Linked DNA regions of Astyanax mexicanus. The protein of the gene in region 2 interacts with the protein of the main gene of each other region in a pairwise test. Links are inferred from orthologs where the notes say so. Each region holds a gene or a part of one and is shown on either strand. Other genes may lie near its edges. The genes, in order: evlb and trim9.

The links.
Region 1: the proteins of trim9 (region 2) and evlb interact in binary tests that used the Homo sapiens proteins (3 or more experiments, as listed by UniProt). The two-hybrid records come from large-scale screens. The link is inferred for Astyanax mexicanus from reciprocal best matches to the Homo sapiens genes TRIM9 and EVL.

Annotation. Positions count from the first base shown.
Region 1 is NC_064408.1:73,272,318-73,282,433, reverse strand, and holds the start of evlb (enah/Vasp-like b), read right to left. Parts: upstream 4,718-10,116; 5' UTR 4,161-4,717; coding exon 4,075-4,160; intron 1-4,074. UniProt on the Homo sapiens protein: Ena/VASP proteins are actin-associated proteins involved in a range of processes dependent on cytoskeleton remodeling and cell polarity such as axon guidance and lamellipodial and filopodial dynamics in migrating cells.
Region 2 is NC_064414.1:38,991,894-39,001,737, forward strand, and holds the start of trim9 (E3 ubiquitin-protein ligase TRIM9), read left to right. Parts: upstream 1-5,358; 5' UTR 5,359-5,486; coding exon 5,487-6,383; intron 6,384-9,844. UniProt on the Homo sapiens protein: E3 ubiquitin-protein ligase which ubiquitinates itself in cooperation with an E2 enzyme UBE2D2/UBC4 and serves as a targeting signal for proteasomal degradation.

The DNA.
Region 1 (10,116 bases), on a different chromosome or scaffold from region 2:
ATCAGGTACAGATTTTTTCAACCATGTTTCAGAGATGACCATTATACTGTGTTTGTTGTAACAGCCCAAAGCTTAATCATATCCATTTTAGGGAGAAGACTTCTAACGTTTAAGTGCAGCATTCCAAGACCTGATCTACTTTTGAAATCTGCTGGTGTGGGTAGATTTTGAATTGGACCCGGGTTAGGCTGCACATTTCCAGATATCAACAGCAATAGCAAAATAACACTTTTCAGTTTCCCAGTACATGTATTGACCTTGTATTCAGTGTCTCTGGCAGAAGAATTTGGACAGGTTTTTCCCATAATAAAGATATCGTTTAGGGCTTTCACAGATTGTAGACACAGCAATGTGCTTCTTTGTATTTGTAGGTCATAAAGGTTATGCTGATGTGAAAGATGAATTTCTTGATGAGGGATGCAGAAGTCCCTAGTCACAGAGTGTGTGAGGCTTTGAGAGTTAGATAATGAGCAGTCCTTCACCATGCTGCGTCCAGTAGGCCCACAAGAGCAACAAATGATGTACAAACAGGCAAACACATGCTTAATGCCTGTAGATAAGGCCATAGTACATGGAATGCTCAGTTGTTTTAATGAAAGAAGACACTGGCTTTAACGCAGAAGATATCCGAAGGACACATGAGACAGCAGAGTGGAATCCACCATATTAGTTGAGTCTACAAGTTGAGTCTGTGCAGTCCAAAGGCAGCTGTAATCACAGGTCCTCACCACACAGTTTCGGGGTAGCTCACCTCTCAGGGTCAGTATATTACTTTAAAACACTTTGCGTAACTAAAATGATCGATTTAAAACAATAAAATGAAGTTTTATATCTACTCCACTAATTGAGTGGTTGTTTTATATGGGATTCAAATGGGATCTTTTGAGTTAAATCAGCTTATAATAACTGAGTTTAGCCTATAGCCCTTGACAACTTTTTTTCGATCTATTTGCATACTGTTTTTCTTTGAGTCACTGGCACTTACCGTCAGTGTGTAGTCATTCTCCCCAGGCTACCTTAAGAAAACTTGTAGGTCATATATTATGATGAGCTTAGCCTTGATAAAAGCAAACGTATAATTTTCTGAGCTAATAACTCTGTATTGGCTGTGTGCTATATTGTTCACTCAACAACATTTCCTGTATTACAATAGAGCTATGCATTTTGTTTAGGCTAAGTCAGTGGCGAGTTGCTAATAGCAACAGTGCTACAGCTACACTTTCTGCGGGCAACACTTGTGTGAACATTAGTCACGCATTACGTTCATTGGTTCCACAAGTCTCCTATAGACTACCTGCACCATGTATTCTGCATGCGTTTGCACAAACCGAACCGTGACCCAAATACCATGACGGTTTGTACCATTACACCCCTAGTAATAAAGCAAATAAAAAACTGTTCAGTCTAAATTCCATCCAATTCATCAGGTTTTAAGTTTAATTAACTCAGGTTCCTTAAATTATTTTTAGTAAAATTCAACTCATCCAGGTGATCATTCAACTCATACAGTGCATTTGTTCTGTCCATCTCTTATTGTCTCTTATGTCCAACCCCATTTTCTGTACCAATAACCTCATTATTGATTGTACAGTAGGCCACAGTGTCTGTCTGTAGCCTGGATCTGATGCCATGAACTCACTGTTCCACTCAATCCAGCTGACCAGCATTACCACCAGCATTAATAGCACCAGCACACTTAGCCCTAGAGCAGTGAACTGTAAACAGCCAGAAAATCCACACCACAAAACCCAACAGCCACACCACAGTAAATATGTGTGACCCAGCTCCACTGCTAAAAGCCCCTACACTGTGGTCTGGCTGATGTTCACTCATTATAGTGCAAACAGAAAGAAGAATTGATATTCCTATAAAAGTGACAGGACAAACTATCTGACAACCTCCATCCAAAGCAGACACACTGCTTTTCTTCATGGGTCATTAATAGTGACTTGTTTTTCAGTCAGTAATTTTCCACCCTGCTTCTTATTCTACAGGTCTCTGTGAGGTTGGAGTTGGTGAAACATCTCTTTACTAAAACAATATGTGACAAATCCCTATGGATAGCAAATAAAATCTCTTCTCTGGCCCTGATTCCTGCAGGACAGGGTATGGATTTATAGCCGGTAATACAATCCTTGCTCTGCAGGAACAACCACCAGCTCTACGTCCAAGTCAAACACACACAGCGATTATCTCCCAAACCAGAGAAAACACACTCTGAATGTGAGTCAAACACATTCTGGAGGAGCATGCAGGCGACCGTGCCAAACTCAAAATCCAGTGGTGAGGCTTGAGTTTTTTTTCTTCTTCTACAGTCCAGCAGGAAGGATTGAGCCATCGCAGAAATAAAATCTGATTAGGACCAAAAATACCCGGCCCGGGTCTTTAAATCGGCTCTAATCGTGCGATTGGGAGAAAAAATGGATGGGTCCTGCCGAGAGGCAAGAGATTAGAGGGCGAGATGAAATCTGAAACGATGGATGAGTGGAGAAATGGACAGATAAAGTCAGGTTGGCGATGAAAGCACAGGGTTACTGAGAACGCTAGGCCCTGATCCCAGTCGAAAAACAAACTGTTTAACTCAGAACTGAAGAGAGCAGGTTCTGGAAATGTAGTAAAACTCACCATATTTTATTACTGTGATTAGTAACAGTGTTGTGACAAAAAAAAAATCTAAAAATTGGGGAAAAGAAGGAAAAATCCCAAATTCCAAATAAGAATATTGTCATTTAGAGAATTTATTTGCAGAAAATGAGAAATGGCGGATAAAAAAGATGCAGAGCTTTCAGACCTCAAATAATTCATATTCATAAAAGTTTTAAAAGTTCAGAAATCAATATTGGTGGAATAACCCTGTTTTTTAATGACAGTTTTTAATGCATCTCCTCCACCAGTCTTACACGCTGCTTTTAGATAACTTTATGCCACTCCTGGTGCAAAAATTCAAGCAGTTCAGCTTGGTAGGATGGCTTGTGATAATCCATCTTCCTCTTGATTATATTCCAGATGTTTTTAATTTGGTTAAATCAAAGAAACTCATAATTTCTAAGTGGTCTCTTATTTTTTTCCAGAGCTGTATGTTTGCCAAAAGTCATGAGACAGGACTTAGTATTGTGTCCCATTATTTTTTGCCATTGCCATGTCTAGTGGAAGTGAGTGAGTGGGCCATCTGCACTGAATAGGGATGTGATTATTTCCAGTTGGTTAACTGTTTACACAGACAATTCTAATCAAATGCTGCAGATTGGCCACAGTTATTACCATCTACTGCACTGTGCACTGTGGATGGTAATGCCATCTATGATGTATTTCCAGTCTGCATGTGACCCTGTGGATTTAGGAATATTAAATGCCAGTGCAAAGAAATGGAATGTCCCAACCAGCTAACAAAACTCAAACAGTCCATGTGTTCAACCTCAATCTCAAAATAAGAATTTTAAATTTATACAAATGTGTCTTTTCCCAAGTTACCCCCTCAGGTAACAGGTAACGATCAATTTACATACTGCTATCCCATGTACAAACAGCCCCAGCGGTGCTCCCTACAGGTTTGTTGTACACTGTGTCATGTGCATCAGTTCTTTTGAACGGTACCTGAGCAACCAATAAAAGTGATGCTCCCCTGCATCTCAAAGATGCTCTTTCTTTAGAAACCTGTGTTAGAAAGTGCTGATTCAAGCTCAGAAGGTCAGCAGCACCATCCTACACTATTGAATGTAGACTGAGAATGCAGACCTTTGAAGTTATACAGCTAGAACTCAAGAGTATTCTGCTCTAACTGTACTGCTGATGCAGCTTCACGAGGCCTCGGAGGAATCACCTTCACCAACAGCCTGCAGAAGGCGAGAAAGACAGAGCGAGACACAGGGAAAACAAAAGAGCCACAGTCTTACACTTCAATTGCATTAAGAGCATCTGTGTCGGCGCTAGCCGCAGCCTGGCAAGCTCCAGCAGAGACTGTAAATCAAGCATCCTCCAAACCTCCTCATTCTCATAAAAGCCGCTCAATTAGAATTCCGCTCCACACCTCCGAGCAGCCACAGAGGACAGCGGGCAGCTGCCACTGAAACCTACCTGATCTTATACTCGGTGACCTGAGCGCCAGCATCACAGTAGATCTGGGGGAAGTAGAAGCGGTGTGACTGGAGGTTAATATCCATCGCTTCAGGTCATAGCAGAGAGGAACAGGTTGCTCTTTCCTCTTTCTCCTCTACCTTCTGACCGGCCGTCTCGTTCACTCGCTCGTTTGCTCGGTGGGTGTCAGGATCCCCTCCCCCTCTTCCGTTCTCACTACCCTTGTAGTAGATCTTAACGTTAATGGTTCAGTAACTGAAACAGCAGAAGCATCTCAGCCACCTTGTCCAAAGCAGAAAGGAGTTGCAGAAAGGCCAACGTCCATCACACACAGCACTCTTTCACACACTCCTAGCTTCTTTCTAAAACCCCAATCCTTGAAGAGCTCGGCAGAGTCAATAGTCAAAAAGAGGAAAAAATGAAAATCAAATTAACTGTGATAAGCTTTAAAAAGAAAAAGAGCTGTAATCTCATCCTCAGTCAATCAGAGCAGACGAAGAGCGCCGCACTGGAGGAGCACATTAATGAGTGAGTAGTGGAAAGAGAGAGAGAATGAGAGAGAGAAAGAGAGAGAGAGAGAGAGAGAGATAGAGTGCTCTTCTCGGTTGAATGAAATTATGATGCTCGCTATGAGGCATCACCCTCGCACTGACTCTCTCTCTTTCTCGTTTCATCTAGTGGATTACCAGCTCCCTCCCCCAACCCTACATCTCTCCATCCCTCCCTTCCTCTATCCTTCTCTCCTCCTCCTCCTCCCCTTCCAGCTGTGACATGAGAGATGGTCGGCTAGCCCCATAGGCCAGGAGCCCCCCTCCCCCTCAATGCCAATGCTGCTGGCTCCTCCTCTTTCCCTCTCTCTCTCTCTCTTCTTCTCTCCCTCCATCTATTCATTCCTCAGTTCTCCCTCTCCCTTCCTCACTCCATTCCTCCTCGCTCTCTGTGTTAGGGAGTAGTCAGCTCTAATGTTAAACCAGTGTGGACAGTGGGGAGGGGTGTGGTTGTGACTGTTAATTAATAAAGGGCATTTGTGGCTTTTTGATCAAGATCAAGATCAAGTGAAGAATTAAAGCGACAGGAGGATCTTCCATCACCCTCCCAGTGATGGGGATACTATAACGTTCCATACAATCTGTCTTTCATTCTGACTGGGCCATTTAAACCCCAGTTGTCACTTAACATGTTTGAACATTTTGATCTCACATGAATTCCTATTATTATGAATTCCGATTATATTTCGAACATGTAGTGTAGTACATGTACACATACACTATATGTCAGTTTCCCAGCCAGGGATTAAGACTAGTGTTAGGCTTTCCGTTGCTGTGTAGCCCAAGACTAGGCTAAAATTATATCTGGGAATCTGCTTCTATATGTACAAATGTTTGTGGACACACCTTCTAATGAATGCATTCAGCTGATTTAAGGGTGTTTTCACACCAGAATTTTTTATTCTGCTTGGATTGAAGTAAGTAAATGATGTGGGGTTGATGCTGCAGTTGGTCAGGTCTGGGTTTTAGCAACAATATGTGCTGAAAGAATGAGGTCAGCTGACTACCTGAATATACTGAATATAGACCAGGTTATTCCATCAATGGATTTTTTCTTCCCTGATGACACGGGCATATTCCAAGAGGACAATGTCAGGATTCATGGGTCTGGAATTGTGAAAAAAAATGATTCAGGGAGCATGAGATCATCATTTTCACACACGAATTGTTCACCACAGACTCCAAACTTTAACCCCATTGAAAATCTTTGGGATGTGCTGGTGAAGGCTTTGTGCAGCGGTCAGACTCTACCATACATCTTGTTACATTGCAGAAGCTTATCGAAACAATGCCACAGTGAATGCGTCCCTCTATCAGACCTAAAGACGCTCCAATGAAATATTAGAGTTTGTGACCTTTTTTTTCAGCCAGGCAGTGTAGAATAGAATAGAATAGAATAGAATAGAATAGGACTCTCTGAAGAAGAGAGTCCTGAGGAACATGAACCTTTAGGCAACATGCCTGCTGCCAGGCGTCGGCTAGAGGGATATAATTCATAGCATTGAGCTATGAAGAAGTTGAACTGTGCTGTCTGGAATGGCAATCAGGTTCTTACAGTAATGATTTACAATCTAGCAAAAAGTATTCTCTGGACAATACTGACAGTTACTCCAACAAAAGCAGGATAAACTTGTTTTTTAATAACCTTGATTTCAGAAGAAACTATTAATGCCAAAGTGTCCATGCAGTAAATAATGACAGAAAGTCCAGTACGGTCTGTCACACTTACTGACCTCAGAAACAATTTACAGAGCTGCTGCTGATACAGTCTAGTCTGCACAGCTTTATGTTGTTTAATATGGTCATTACCTATGATGCATTTGTGAAGTGTAAGAGCATAGGTAGTGCTTTCCTGTGATTGCAGTGTACAGCACAGAGTAGAGGCCATGTCCTGTCTTCTGCTTATTCAGAAGGTTCTGTTTGTATTATTTTCTGATGTGTTGCACTAGATTGTGTAATCCTATCACAAAGCTTTATGTAATTTTATACAATCATACCAAATCGTTTTTTCTCTGATTCAGTCCCAAAAGGTATCTGCAAGACTTAAGCAAAAACAAATGTTGTGACTGATCTGCAGTCTTTTCTGTAGTCTTTTTAAGTATTACATCATCAGTTATTTATCAGTTTACATCCTAGAATCAAATTTAGGAATCTAAAAATAAAAATCATATATTACAAAAATGTTACAGAAAATACTGTGAGGTGAGTATAAGCTGATATTAAAATGTTATATCATGATTATCTAACGTTTTATCAAATTTTAAAAGATGACCTTCATATTTTAAGCAGTACTCTGTATGAGGTATACTACATGTGCTATAGCAGTGGGCAATATGGCTCTAGAAATGTCACAGTATTTCAGGATATTTTTGATTTATTCTTGTCAACATGAAAGAAAACATTGAAAATATTTTGTTAATATCCAGAAAATACTACTGCAATAAAAAAATAACAATAGAAACATAATATCTCTAAGTCTATGTGTACTTCGTAAAAAGCAGTAAGGTATTTCATCCATAATGTGCGGATAAAATGAAAAATGTCTTTCTCAATAAGAGCAGCAGCTGCCAGTGAACCTCCTATTAAATCCATAACAATCAATAGGCCTCTAGCAGACCTGTAGCCTATATGTAGTTCATTAACTCAGAAAGCCTACACACTGATTAAATTACATAAATTAAATTAGATCCAGGAACAAAGGCATACATTCTGATCTCCAGTCCATTTAATCGCGTCTCTCTGATGTTATTACCAGGTCAACACATGCATTTAGTAATGATACTTATTGCTGGAAAAGGAATCTAATATGCTCACACGTATCATACTTTAACAGTAATTAATGTACGCTTACATTCTAAAACAGCTATATTCTAGACCCAAGTTATCATAGAAGTAACACAAGTTACAGATTATGACTTAACTTGGCTTATGATCTAAAACATACTGATTCTTCTATACATTTTTATGGTTGCACATTGCAAAGCACTGCAAAAATATATAGTTATTCATCTGTTTTCCATTTTGATAATTTTTATCTGAGATGTTTGTGGCATAACTTGGCCGGTTTTGAGATTTCAACTCCAGATTTTCATTCTAATTGTGTGATGCATACAGGGTGAAAAAGTTACAGTGATACAAATGCACTTTTATTACCTAAAAATCAATACAGAAACTCACAGCACATTACCTGTGAGAACAACTTGGGAAACCATAGCAACCGCCTTGTAACCACCTAGCAACCACAAAGTCAACATCCTAGCAGCTGAAATCCTACAGCAATAATCATACCTAACTAAAGAACCCATCTTGTGTTAGAAATACTATAGCAACCACCTGATACACCAGGTATCACCTACCACTTAAAAACACCACTGCAACCACCTGCGATACTGAAGCATTCAGGTGGCTACACCATAACAACCTCTTAGTAATACCAGTGCCACCACCTTGGACGCCATAGCATTTAGTTATCCACACCATAGCAACCTCTTAGAAACACCACAGCAACCACCTGGTATACCATAGCCTTAATTTAGCTACACCATAGCAGCATCTTAAGAACACGACAGCAACCACCTGGTATACCATAGCCTTAATTTAGCTACATCATAGCAACCTCTTAGAAACACCACCAAAGATACTATAGCATTTAATTAGCTACACCAAAGCAACATCTTAGAAACACCACAGCAACCATCTGGAATACCACATTAATCGCCTTCCAACCAGCTAGCAACACCATGAAAACCACCAGGAATACCATAGTTACCATTAAGCAACAGTTAACTGCAAGGAAAAGGAATGCACTTGAGCTATTAAGTATATTTTTATATTAGCAAAGTCATGTAAACGATATTATAGCTTTAATGGGACAAACTAGCATTTTTCACAAAATAAAAATTAATTGATTTTTATAAGAAATCAAATGAAGAGCTGAAAGATTTGTTAGAATTAAAATAATACATTTACTGACTGGCAACTGCTTGTTACAAGCAAAAACTGCTTGTTGAAAGCGAAGTGACATCAGCATTAAAAGAAAAGACTAGCTTCAGACATGCTAAAGACCTGTTACTGAATCTAAAAAATGAATGAATCACTACTTGTGTACCTTTTCAGCAATAACAGACTATTAGAAATAGCGATTAATGCTTCCAATTTCTTTACTGTATTATTATTTAATGTATCATTATTTATACGTGTGATTTTCTGTTTGTTAAGAGTGGACAGGAAGAGAACATACAAATCCCTGAGAACCAGGAAGTGGAGTGTTCAGCTAGGTTCCGAAAACCCTAATCATAACACTAATCATACATTATATACAGTCAGCCATCAACACAAACAGGTAGGTAGATGTATAGATATGGAAATATTGTAGAGGCTGTTTAGACAAAGGTACATGCAGCCCCTCCCCCCAGCACCATCCCCACCACTCTCTCTCTCTCTCTCTCTCCAGCAGGTTCCTGCCTGACTGCAGATTGCATTCTAATCCTTAAAGGGGAACACCTCCATTTGAGCTCAGCCAAGAGTGTCTACTGTAACTGTACAGCCATTAGCGCAATACAGAGGAGCTCAGCCTTCTGTTAGACTCGCACCCGATCACACTGGATACAGAGCAGCACTACTGAGAGTGAAATTAAAGGGGGGAGAAACACAGATGAACAGATTGAGGCAGAGATGAGTAATTAAATAAGCATATGAATGAAGCAGAAGCAGAGCCATCAAACCTAATTCAGTTTTACTGGAGGAGGGAGAGTGTGAAAAGACGAATGACGCAAAGGAGAGAAAAATGAGAAAGAACAGCCTAAAGACACAAGAATGCATAGAAAAATGGATAAAAAAGGAAGGAAGATGAACCAGCAAGAGAGATGAATGAAAGAGAGAGAGGGAGCAAGAGATAGAGAGAGAGATGGAGGCTGACAGCTGTCTCTGAATCTGATATCTGTTCAGGTTCAGCGCCGCCTCCCCAAGGTCAGACTGTAAGGAGTGACTACAGCAGTGCAGTCAGACAGTTATCTGATGGACTTTTGCTCTGCTATACAAGTTAAAAAGGTTCTGAATTTAGCTCTAAAGCTTTTTTTCACACCTATACAATTAATTTCCCAAATGCAATAGCAGTTGTTTCGTTTTCAGTTTGGCCAAAAAAGGTGATCTTTGTCCACATCTACTAAACCATTGTCTGGTTCGTCTGCAGTGTAATAAACACTTTTCTAGATCAGGCATTACCAACTATTTGCAAGTCACAGCCAACTTAACCCTCCACAATACTTTCCACAGCCCACCAGAATATTTTATTTACCTTTAAAAACCAAAAACATCACAAACATCAACTGTTTTTTTTTACATTTTTGGAAATAACTGCTGTATTTTCAACTGCTTTTTTTGTTCTTTCAGTCAGAGAAACAGTGGCTGCTTCACTTGTAGATGTCAAAGACCCTTGTTAGGCTTGTTAACCTACTAGCTGTCTATGCCTGTCATGTGACTGTACTACGCTAAA
Region 2 (9,844 bases):
ACAGATCTGAATTCACTGATGAAACGCACACACACACACACACACATACACACTCTAGAAGCTTCCTCAGTGAGCTCTGCATGTTTCAAGCTGTTGCTGATGCGAGCCAGAACTCTCTTTCTCCTCTCTAGTCCATAAAGATGTCTGCACTCACATAATTACAGCATTCAGAGGCCAGCGCTCTTACAATTTCTCTGCTGGCAGTTACACTGTCTGTACCACACACACACAAACACACACACTGTCCTCAGAATCACTCCCTATTACAGGAATAGTGCTCTATATAATGTATGTGTCCTTATGTCCTTGATATATTCCAAATATATTCTAAAGTCTGTAAACACTCTGTATAATATATTCACTGGCCAAAAGTCTGTCAATCAGTGTGTCAATTAATCATGAAGTGCTGCCGTAGAGGACAGCTCGAGAAAAGCCCACACCTGGGTAAATAGTGAGGTGTTTTCTTGTATGTGAGCTTGAACACTGGCCAGCAAGCTCATAGCAAAGCAACGTGAATTATCAGTGTTTAAAAAGACCTGACCCGCGCAAACAAACAAGCAACTCTGGCAAAAATCACATCCACATTTAATCCAAGAGACCCACATGACCTACAGGTCAATGCAGCATGACCCACTTTGACCTAGTTTACACGGGATATGACAAATGTCCTGGGACACAATACTAGCTCATGTCCCATGATGAAGTCAGCCACCGCCTGCTGCTAATGTACCATTGCGGAGTAACCAGTGCGCTCGGAGGAAAGTGCAGCGCCTCGGCTCCGAAACATCAGCTCACAGACGCCTTGTGCTGATCGACATCACCCTTTGGAGTGATGAGGGGAAACAGTGCCATCTACCCACCCAGAAAGAGCAAGGCCAATTGTGCTCTCTCAGGGCTCCAGCAGCTGATGGCAAGCTGCATGACCGGGATTTGAACCAGCGATCTTCCAATCATGTCCCATGATATTTGGCATGTCTGGTACCTTTGACAAGTTGTACTGTTTCTATTTATCATAAATTTAGCGTTTACACATTTAAAAGTGTAGAAGCTGTATGTAAATTATGCCTAAAAATCAATGTAAAAAACTAATATATATATATCACTGACATGCCAGAAGTCATGGGATAGCACTATGTAAATTAATCATGAAGTGATCATATAAACTAAGCTTTGATGGTCAAGGTAGTTGAAAAGTAAAAAAGTAAACAGTAAAAAACATGCCCATTTTTCTGTTTGCATGGATAATTCTAGCAAGGCGCCACTGGTCACGATCATTACCAGCCACTGTGCTGTCCCCTGTGGGTGCTAATTATATGATGTACATATTTCTGCTACACATGTGACACTATATGTGTTAAAAAAAAATGTGGCACTTTGCCAACAGCACACAGACATGAGCGTTTCCAAGCCATCCCCCGAGGTAACACTTCATGATCAATTTACATCTGGCTATTCCATGACTTCTGGCATGTCAGTGTATATACTGTATATGTCACAGAATTTGCAAGTTACCTGTGTGTTTGTATGTGTGTGTGTTGTGGCTACCTAATCACACTGCCTCCTACCAAACTCCACCACCCGATGGGTGGACCCTTAAAATGCCAGCATGTCGTTCTGTTTGAGTGAAGGCTATTTCTCTCTTTGCTGCTCTCTCGTTCTGCACTCAGCCAGGTTACCCTGGAAACACGGCTGAAGGCAGGAACAATGGGACAAAGTAAAGCTGCACTCATCAGGATCCAGCGCTCCAGAGAAGAGAAAACACTCTAACTCAGCACTGTTGACATTTCTGGCCCACAGACAACAAACTGAACTCTCATACAGTATCTCACCATTACAGCATTAACACCTACAGATAGTGTGCAGCACTCGTCCTCAGCGCTTACGCCTCACACCTCACATACACATTACGCACACTTAAGCCTGCTATTAACTCACAGTACTCTCCGTAACCCATAATACTGCATGTGCATAGTGCTCTTCAGTAGGAATTTGTCAGACAAAAGTGCCCTGCTTAATAAAGGGGCTACTACAGTATGCTGCTGTACTCTCAGCTCCTTTATTCACCTTTAAAAAAAACTCCTGCCTTAAAGCACATTCTTTTATTTCTTCTCATTCCCTTCATATTCACGTCATACACTGCATTCATAATACCAAAACTAACCACAAAGTTACACTGAAGAGTTCATTTGCAAAAACACATAAAGGTCTATTTAAAGAAGAGCACTTATCTGTTTTTGCAAATTAACTCTTCAGATGTTCCTTGTTTCTTGTCAGCATTCCAGTGCATACACTGGCCTTATATTTAGGTAAATCATTTTATGTCATTTATATATGACAGTTTATGTATGCATTTTTTTTCTTTGCGAATTTGGCTCAGGAAGTGTATTTAATGCACTCAATATTCTGACCGTAATTGGGTTTCTCCAGTTATGTAAGTTATTGTTTATTTTTCATTTGCACAACATGTCAGGACATTCCTGCACTAGAATGTTTATGCTAATTATTATATACATGTAAACAGCACACTTTGATTTTTTTTTTTTAGAATGCATTAAGGCCTAGGCCACTACCTGCTAGTGAGCTACCACATCATGTGGGAGACTGGGGTTCAATTCCCAGTCTGGGTGACTATGCCGCGCTACACCAATAAGAGTCCTTGGGCAAGACTCCTAACACTACATTAGTCCACATCTGTGATAGGAATAATCCTTATTTGGACAATAGAGACACACTCTAACCTTGGATAGGTTACTTTTTATTAAATTATTTGATAAAAAAAAGTTTGTTTACTGGAACTGTACTTAATTCAACTTCACAATTTTGTGTTATATCAATTGCTATGGTCAAGCAAATAAAACAGATGGAAAAAAGCTAGTTGCAAGTCTAATTCAAACTAATTGTAATTGTACAATGAAAAGTTAGGGTAAAGTTATTTAAGATTTAGAATTTTATAGGTGAGTGTACATCAGCATCATCATGAAGATCAACATGTCCAGTTCCACTGTGGATTTATATGTTTGGAATTAAAAGTGTACATAGAGCTTTTTGACATTGTAGGCCTGTAACAAATCAGTACGGTGGCCGAGAAAGCCCAGCGCAGTGCAAATTGAAAAGCGCTGCAAAAGCACAAAACACATTCATCAAAATTACAACACAGGCGCAGCAAATAGAAAAACGCGCTGCAAAAAGAAAAACGCGCTGCAAATAGAAAAACGCGCTGCAAATAGAACCACAACACAACGGAAGTGAGTCACAACACAACAGAATTTTCCCGGGGGACCTTAAAAGATGCTGTACCAGCTGTATACAAAGGACAATAAGTGGCAAACAAGCTTCTGAAAAGTAAGTTATGTTTATTACCTGTGATTACCACGGTTGTGTGCATATTATTAAAAGTTCTGCTTCACAAAACGCCTTGTTTGCCACTTATTGTCCTTTGTACACATAGTGAAGTCCGAGACGTTACTGAAGACGCAGCTTAGCTGGTACAGTATCTTTTAAGGTCCCCCGGGAAAATTCCGTTGTGTTGTGACTCACTTCCGTTGTGTTGTGGTTCTATTTGCAGCGCGTTTTTCTAGTTGCAGCGCGTTTTTCTATTTGCTGCGCCTGTGTTGTAATTTTGATGGATGTGTTTTGTGCTTTTGCAGCGCTTTTCAATTTGCACTGCGTTGGGCTTTCTCGGCCACCGTAAATCAGAGAGTAGAAAACAACTGCCAAACTAATTAGCCACCAGAAACTTCCAGGAACTGAGAAGACCTGCAGAAAAGGGCCCTGCGGATGTGTCACACTAGATGTAAATGCCATTTTAAAATTATAATTGAATCCATGCACCTCACCCAACCATCTGTTATGCAAATTCCTTAATAAGCAATGTCACCAGTAAAGCTTCATGGAGTAGCTGAAATTTAACCTGGGTGCCCTTCACATTTTGCCTCCTCAAGACTCAGCAGAATAAAACTGAGGAACTCTGTAGAGTCAGTAACAGCAGACACACATATTAAACACTCCAAATAAACTGCCAGTCACATTATCTCACTTGTCTTCTTGCAGCTGCAAACCAATTTCTTTCTCCAGTATAAAACACACTTTTCCAGAGTTAGGGGGCATAATGATCCATGCTAATTTTAAAATACTGTTCACAAGCTTTCCTTGTACTTCTAATCTGTGTGTCTTTAGTGTGCTTATCCCTAATGTTTTATATTCACATCAGTACACATCTCCAGCATTCTGGAGATCCTGCTTTTGTGGAGTAAACATTTCTACTGTCCAGGGACGACTTTCCACCAGATATTGCATTAATGAGATCAGGATGCTGAATTGTCACCACTCTCATTCTCATCCTCATCTTCCCAACTCACCTCAGTACTGAAATGAGTGTCATTATTCCAGAGAACACTGTTCCACTGATCAATACTAGTGAGATTTATACATCTTCACTCCATGCCTGACATTAAACAATAGGTTCCTGTTTATCTGCTCCAGAGAGAGCTATTTTATTACCAATACATCTCTATGGAAACTATAGAAATGCTTTGTGTGTGCATTTCATTGTAATCTCAAGTATCTCAAGATTCGTCGATTTTAGTTTTCTATATAATTTTTTTGAACACACAAACTGATGAATGGACCAATAGATTTGATGAATGGACCAATAGAAATAATCCAAAATTACCTTAAATAATCTCTTTGACTTCCATAAAAAGTTAAGAAGGTTTTATCTCTCTCCTGTAAAGTTGCTGTTTTGGAGATACATGTGTTTCATTGGACAGTTACGGTTCCCACATATGTCAGCAATAGATGCACAAATTTCCTTTACTTTTTGTGCTATGTTTATAGTTGAAAGTACCATATATTGATGTCCTGCTGTGCATGTACTCACTGTTTTTTATAGCTTTTAAATACTTACTATTGTTTTGTATTACTGTTCTGTATTGTGTAATTACTGGCTACTGGCTGCTAAATTACCATCTGAATCAATAAAGTATCTATGTATGAATCTATCTATGTATCTGTCCTACTGAAGAAGTGTTAGATAGATAGGAAAGATTTGGGACACAGCATCGGGAGTGCAGGGGCTGCAGAATACCTCCTCACCTAATTCGCTTTATGGTCACGTCTTGAGTCGTCGTGTCTTTTTTTAAGTGCTGTGTGATGTCTCGGTAGGAGTTTAGTTTTTTTGTCTGGACGCCGGCCACAGCTTGCTGCTTGCTGTTTGGCTAAGCCGTTGAATATGGCAGCTGCCTTGACCAATATCTGCTTACTGTGGGCTTTAGTTAGTGATGTAAAGCGCATCCTCCGCGGTCGGTGATTGGTCGAGGCTGTGGTCCCGCCCCTGCAGTATAAATCTCCCCTCCTCCGGGTCTGTGCGCTCATTCCGAGGAGAGGGGGCTGCGCGCGGACGGAGGGGAGATTTACAGCCGGGGTCTGTAGCGCTTGTTTTGTTTTTCTTTACATTCCCGGTTTTTTCCCACCGTTTTGGAGCCACTATGGAGGAGATGGAGGAAGAGCTGAAGTGTCCGGTGTGCGGCTCGTTTTTCCGCGAGCCCATCATCCTGCCCTGCTCGCACAATATCTGCTTGGCGTGCGCGCGGAACATCCTGGTGCAGACGCCGGACGCAGACTCGCCACAGAGCGCGCGCGCCTCCGGCTCCGCCGCGTCCGACTACGACTACCTGGACCTGGACAAGATGAGCCTGTACAGCGAGGCGGACAGCGGCTACGGCTCTTACGGTGGCTTCGCGAGCGCGCCCACCACGCCGTGCCCCAAGTCCCCGAACGGGGTGCGCGTCTTTCCGCCGGCCCCACCGCCCCCCCAGCAGTCCCAGCAGCAGCACCTGCTGCCCCCGCCGACCGCGTCCGGCGCGCCCCCTCCACCTCCCCACCCTCACCCTCATCCCACCGCCATGATGATGATGATGATCCCCCGAAACGCCTGCCTCACCTGCCCGCAGTGCCACCGCAGCCTGACGCTGGACGACCGCGGCCTGCGCGGCTTCCCCAAGAACCGCGTGCTGGAGGCGGTGGTGGAGCGCTACCAGCAGAGCAAGGCGGCGGCGCTGCGCTGCCAGCTGTGCGAGAAGACCCCGCGCGAGGCCACCGTGCTGTGCGAGCAGTGCGACGTCTTCTACTGCGACGCGTGCCGAGTGCGCTGCCACCCGCCCCGCGGCCCGCTCGCCAAGCACCGGCTCGTGCCACCCGCGCAGGGGCGCATCAGCCGCCGCGCGAGCCCGCGCAAGACCTCCACATGCACGGAGCACGAGCTGGAGAACCTCAGCATGTACTGTGTGCAGTGCAAGATGCCCGTGTGCTACCAGTGCCTGGAGGAGGGGAGGCACTCCGCGCACGAGGTCAAAGCGCTCGGGGCGATGTGGAAACTGCACAAGGTGAGGAGGGGAAGGAAAAGCTGTGTGCACTTGTGCGTGTGCGCAGAATAATGAGGAACACCTCCAATTAGGTCTACTATAAGCATATCTACAGGTTGTAATCTGTATGTTATCCTGGAAAATGTATTTTGTTCCAAAGATAACCAATGTTCGACCTTTTATGGGTAGCCAGACAGTTTTATTCATGAGTTCCATGTTGGAACCATATGTGGATATGAGTGATGGGACCAGAAACAGGGGTTCCATTTGTGTTGTACACTTCGTATGATGTCTAGTAGGATGTTAATAAAATTAATGTTCTAATGTAAATTTCAAAATGGGATAATCAAGATTGCATAATTTACATATAAGATAATATATTAGACTTTGTTGTCCCCAATGGGGACATTATCCTTGAAAAAAAAAATACACACAACACTCTATACAACATCACATATTTACATATCAGAAATATTGCATAAACCCTTGACCTTGCTACTATTTGCATATTTTACACATTCCCTCTGACCCAACACAGACTGTGCTACACAACCCTAGACCTTACTTATATTGCACATTTTATCAAACAAAACCATGAGCGGTATTGCACATTACCTATGCTTTTTACTTAAGAGCTTTATAGAAACTGGCACAAATGAATTCCTATATCTATTGAGCTGGCATCTTGGCATCCTGTACCTTCTGCCTGAGGGGAGGAGTTGGTATTCATGGTGAAGCACATGAGATGGATCAGCCACTATTTTCTAAACTGTCAGTGTGAATCTCAGTAGATAGATGTGCTTCTGTCAGAAATCTATAAAAACTCTTTTATTTGGCAGTGGTTTTCTTTACATGTTTAATTAACTGAAATTAACATGTAATAAACCATGTTTATTACAAAAGCTGCAGGCAGGTTTAAAGGGGGCTGTTTACAGATCACTTTTTTTCAAATAAAAAATAGAAGTTGTTATGTAACAACTAAAATCGTTGTTGGGAATAACTTGATGAATATCAAGATTTTTACAATATGGCCCAGCCTCACCTTCAAGATTTAAGTTGGTTGTTATGGTCCTTATTTGCAAAGCTCTACTGGGTAACAGCACATTCAGTGCTCATGCCCACTCGGAGCCTACCTAGACCACACTGCACCCATGCGAGTCCAACATTAGCGTGTTCCAGTATAGTCAGTCTGTGTCATTAGATAGTAAGAGTTAGAGTTAAGAGTGATTCACCAGCTTCAAATATGTAGCTAATAGTTGGTTTGCAGTCAGGAACTGTCTCAGGGGTCAATTAGAAAATCTGTCACCCTGCAGGTAGGTTAAGGATTGGTGATATCTTCTGATCAAGATAATAAAGATCTTCAGTAGCATCTGAATATTGGAGCCAAGCAGATAGATTTAAACACTCCATGCTGATAGATGTCCACTCCTGGGATAGAAGGAGGTCACTAACATTAATTTATCACAGCAGTAGATCTTTGGTTCTAACTTTTTCTAACTTGTACTCACTCCAGCTATGCCGAGCTGCAATGTTGCAATAAATTGAAAAATCCATGCCAAATCTGGTAGCCATATTGCTTCTGGCTGAGGAAACTTTTCGAATGCATTCTGTAAAGAACCATCTATGACTCAGCAGTGCACTAAAGCCATGTGGGAATGATTGGATTGAATTTAAATTAAATAGAAGTGTTGTTAGGAGTGTAACAGTGCAGACTGGAGGTGTCCTCAGATTGAAGAGAACCTCACTAAAGGCAAAATATTCTTGATTTTCTCCTTTTGGTTTTATCCTAGTGGTTTCCGGTTTTGGTCTTGGAGTATACCCTATCTGAAAGTTCATATTCAAAAAGTTTTAAAAGAGAATCAATATTTGGTGGATTAACCCTGGTTTTTAATCACAGTTTTCATGCATCTTGGCATGTTCCCCTCCAGCAGTCATGCACACTGCTTTCGTAAAACTTCATGCAACTCCTGGTGCAAAAATTCAATCAGTTCAGCTTGGTTTGATGGCTTGTGATCATCCATCTTCCTTTTGATTGTATTCCAGAGGTTTTTAAATTGGTAAAATCAAAGAAACTCATATATACCCTCATATGTACCCTATCTGCAAGTTTGGTCTGTAAGGCTATGTTCAGACTGTAGGCAAATCAAATCAGAAATGCTGAGATGACTGTCTGCACTATTTATGTGTAATTGATGAGATCAGATATGCCTGTCTGGATATAACATATCTGCATGGGTTGCTGTTGTAATGATGTTGGCATCAGTAAATAATCTTTGGCATTCTTCTTGGACCCGCACACTTACGTTACTCTGGATTTGATAAGGCTGTTGTTTATTGTGTTGTGAATGACCCGAAAAATAAATGTTAAAATGCAATCTGAGCATATAGAGCATCCACACCGAGTTACATCTGTACAAGTCTGATTGTAATTGCACAAACCCAAAAGTAATTGCGCAATCTAGATTTGCAGATTTGTAAGTAGATTTGGGCTGGCAGTCTGAACATAGCCTAACACCAACTTCTACTAACCAGCTAATCTCCAATAAATATGCCACTGTTAATACATTTGTTGTGCAGAAGCATTGTAAAAGTAGTGAAAACACAAAAATCTGCAGAGCAGGGGTACTTAAGCAAGAGCACTGAGAAGCACTAGCCATGTTTATCAGAGACTGGGCTATAGAAGGTAATTTGTCCCTGTCAGGTTCTGAAATAGGGGTTTCACTCACTGAGCAGAATTCCTCTACCCCATCAAGAACCCTGTCAAGACAACAGCTATGAGTCTGTGATTGTTGGTCAGTAATGTACTGCAGTGGGACTGCATTCAGAGTGTTGACCGTTTAATAAGTTGTGACAGGAATATGCCAGTGAAGAGCCAAGACGGCGGGAATGTTCATGTTAAAATTCAGAGCACGAGCGAAACGGAGCTCGCCGTGATTCAGACCCAATAAAACAGAGCGGATAGGGGGGAGAAAGCTGTTATCTGGGTGAACAAAACATCTCTGATCATTGCACTGTAGATGCTGTGATTGATGTAGAAGACTTAATTCAGAGAGCACACTTCAGAGTGTGAAGGAAGTGTTGCTTGGGCCCAATCCCATGTTACCCCGTGCCCTTATCACTTAGCCCCAATGTCCCGATTCTTGTTGGGATAGAGGGGGAGGTGTTATGGCTCCATTTAAATGGAGATTTTTTAGACGTGCATTCCAAAAAGAGGGTTATGAGAAATCACCAACAAGATGGCTGCTCAAGCGACCATAGAATGTAAAATGTTGATAAAAATTGCATTATTTTAGTTTAAAGTAGTTACAATGTAGTATGAAACTTTTCTTCATAAGAAGCAAAAACAGACACTAGGGAAGCTATCAAGTAGCTGACCTTAGCTTGTTATCACCAAGGAATTATGGGTAGAGGTAATGCTCTAAATAAAGTCCAGCATTAGTAAGGTTGCTGAAATTTACAGCTCCTTTGCTATGACAACAGAC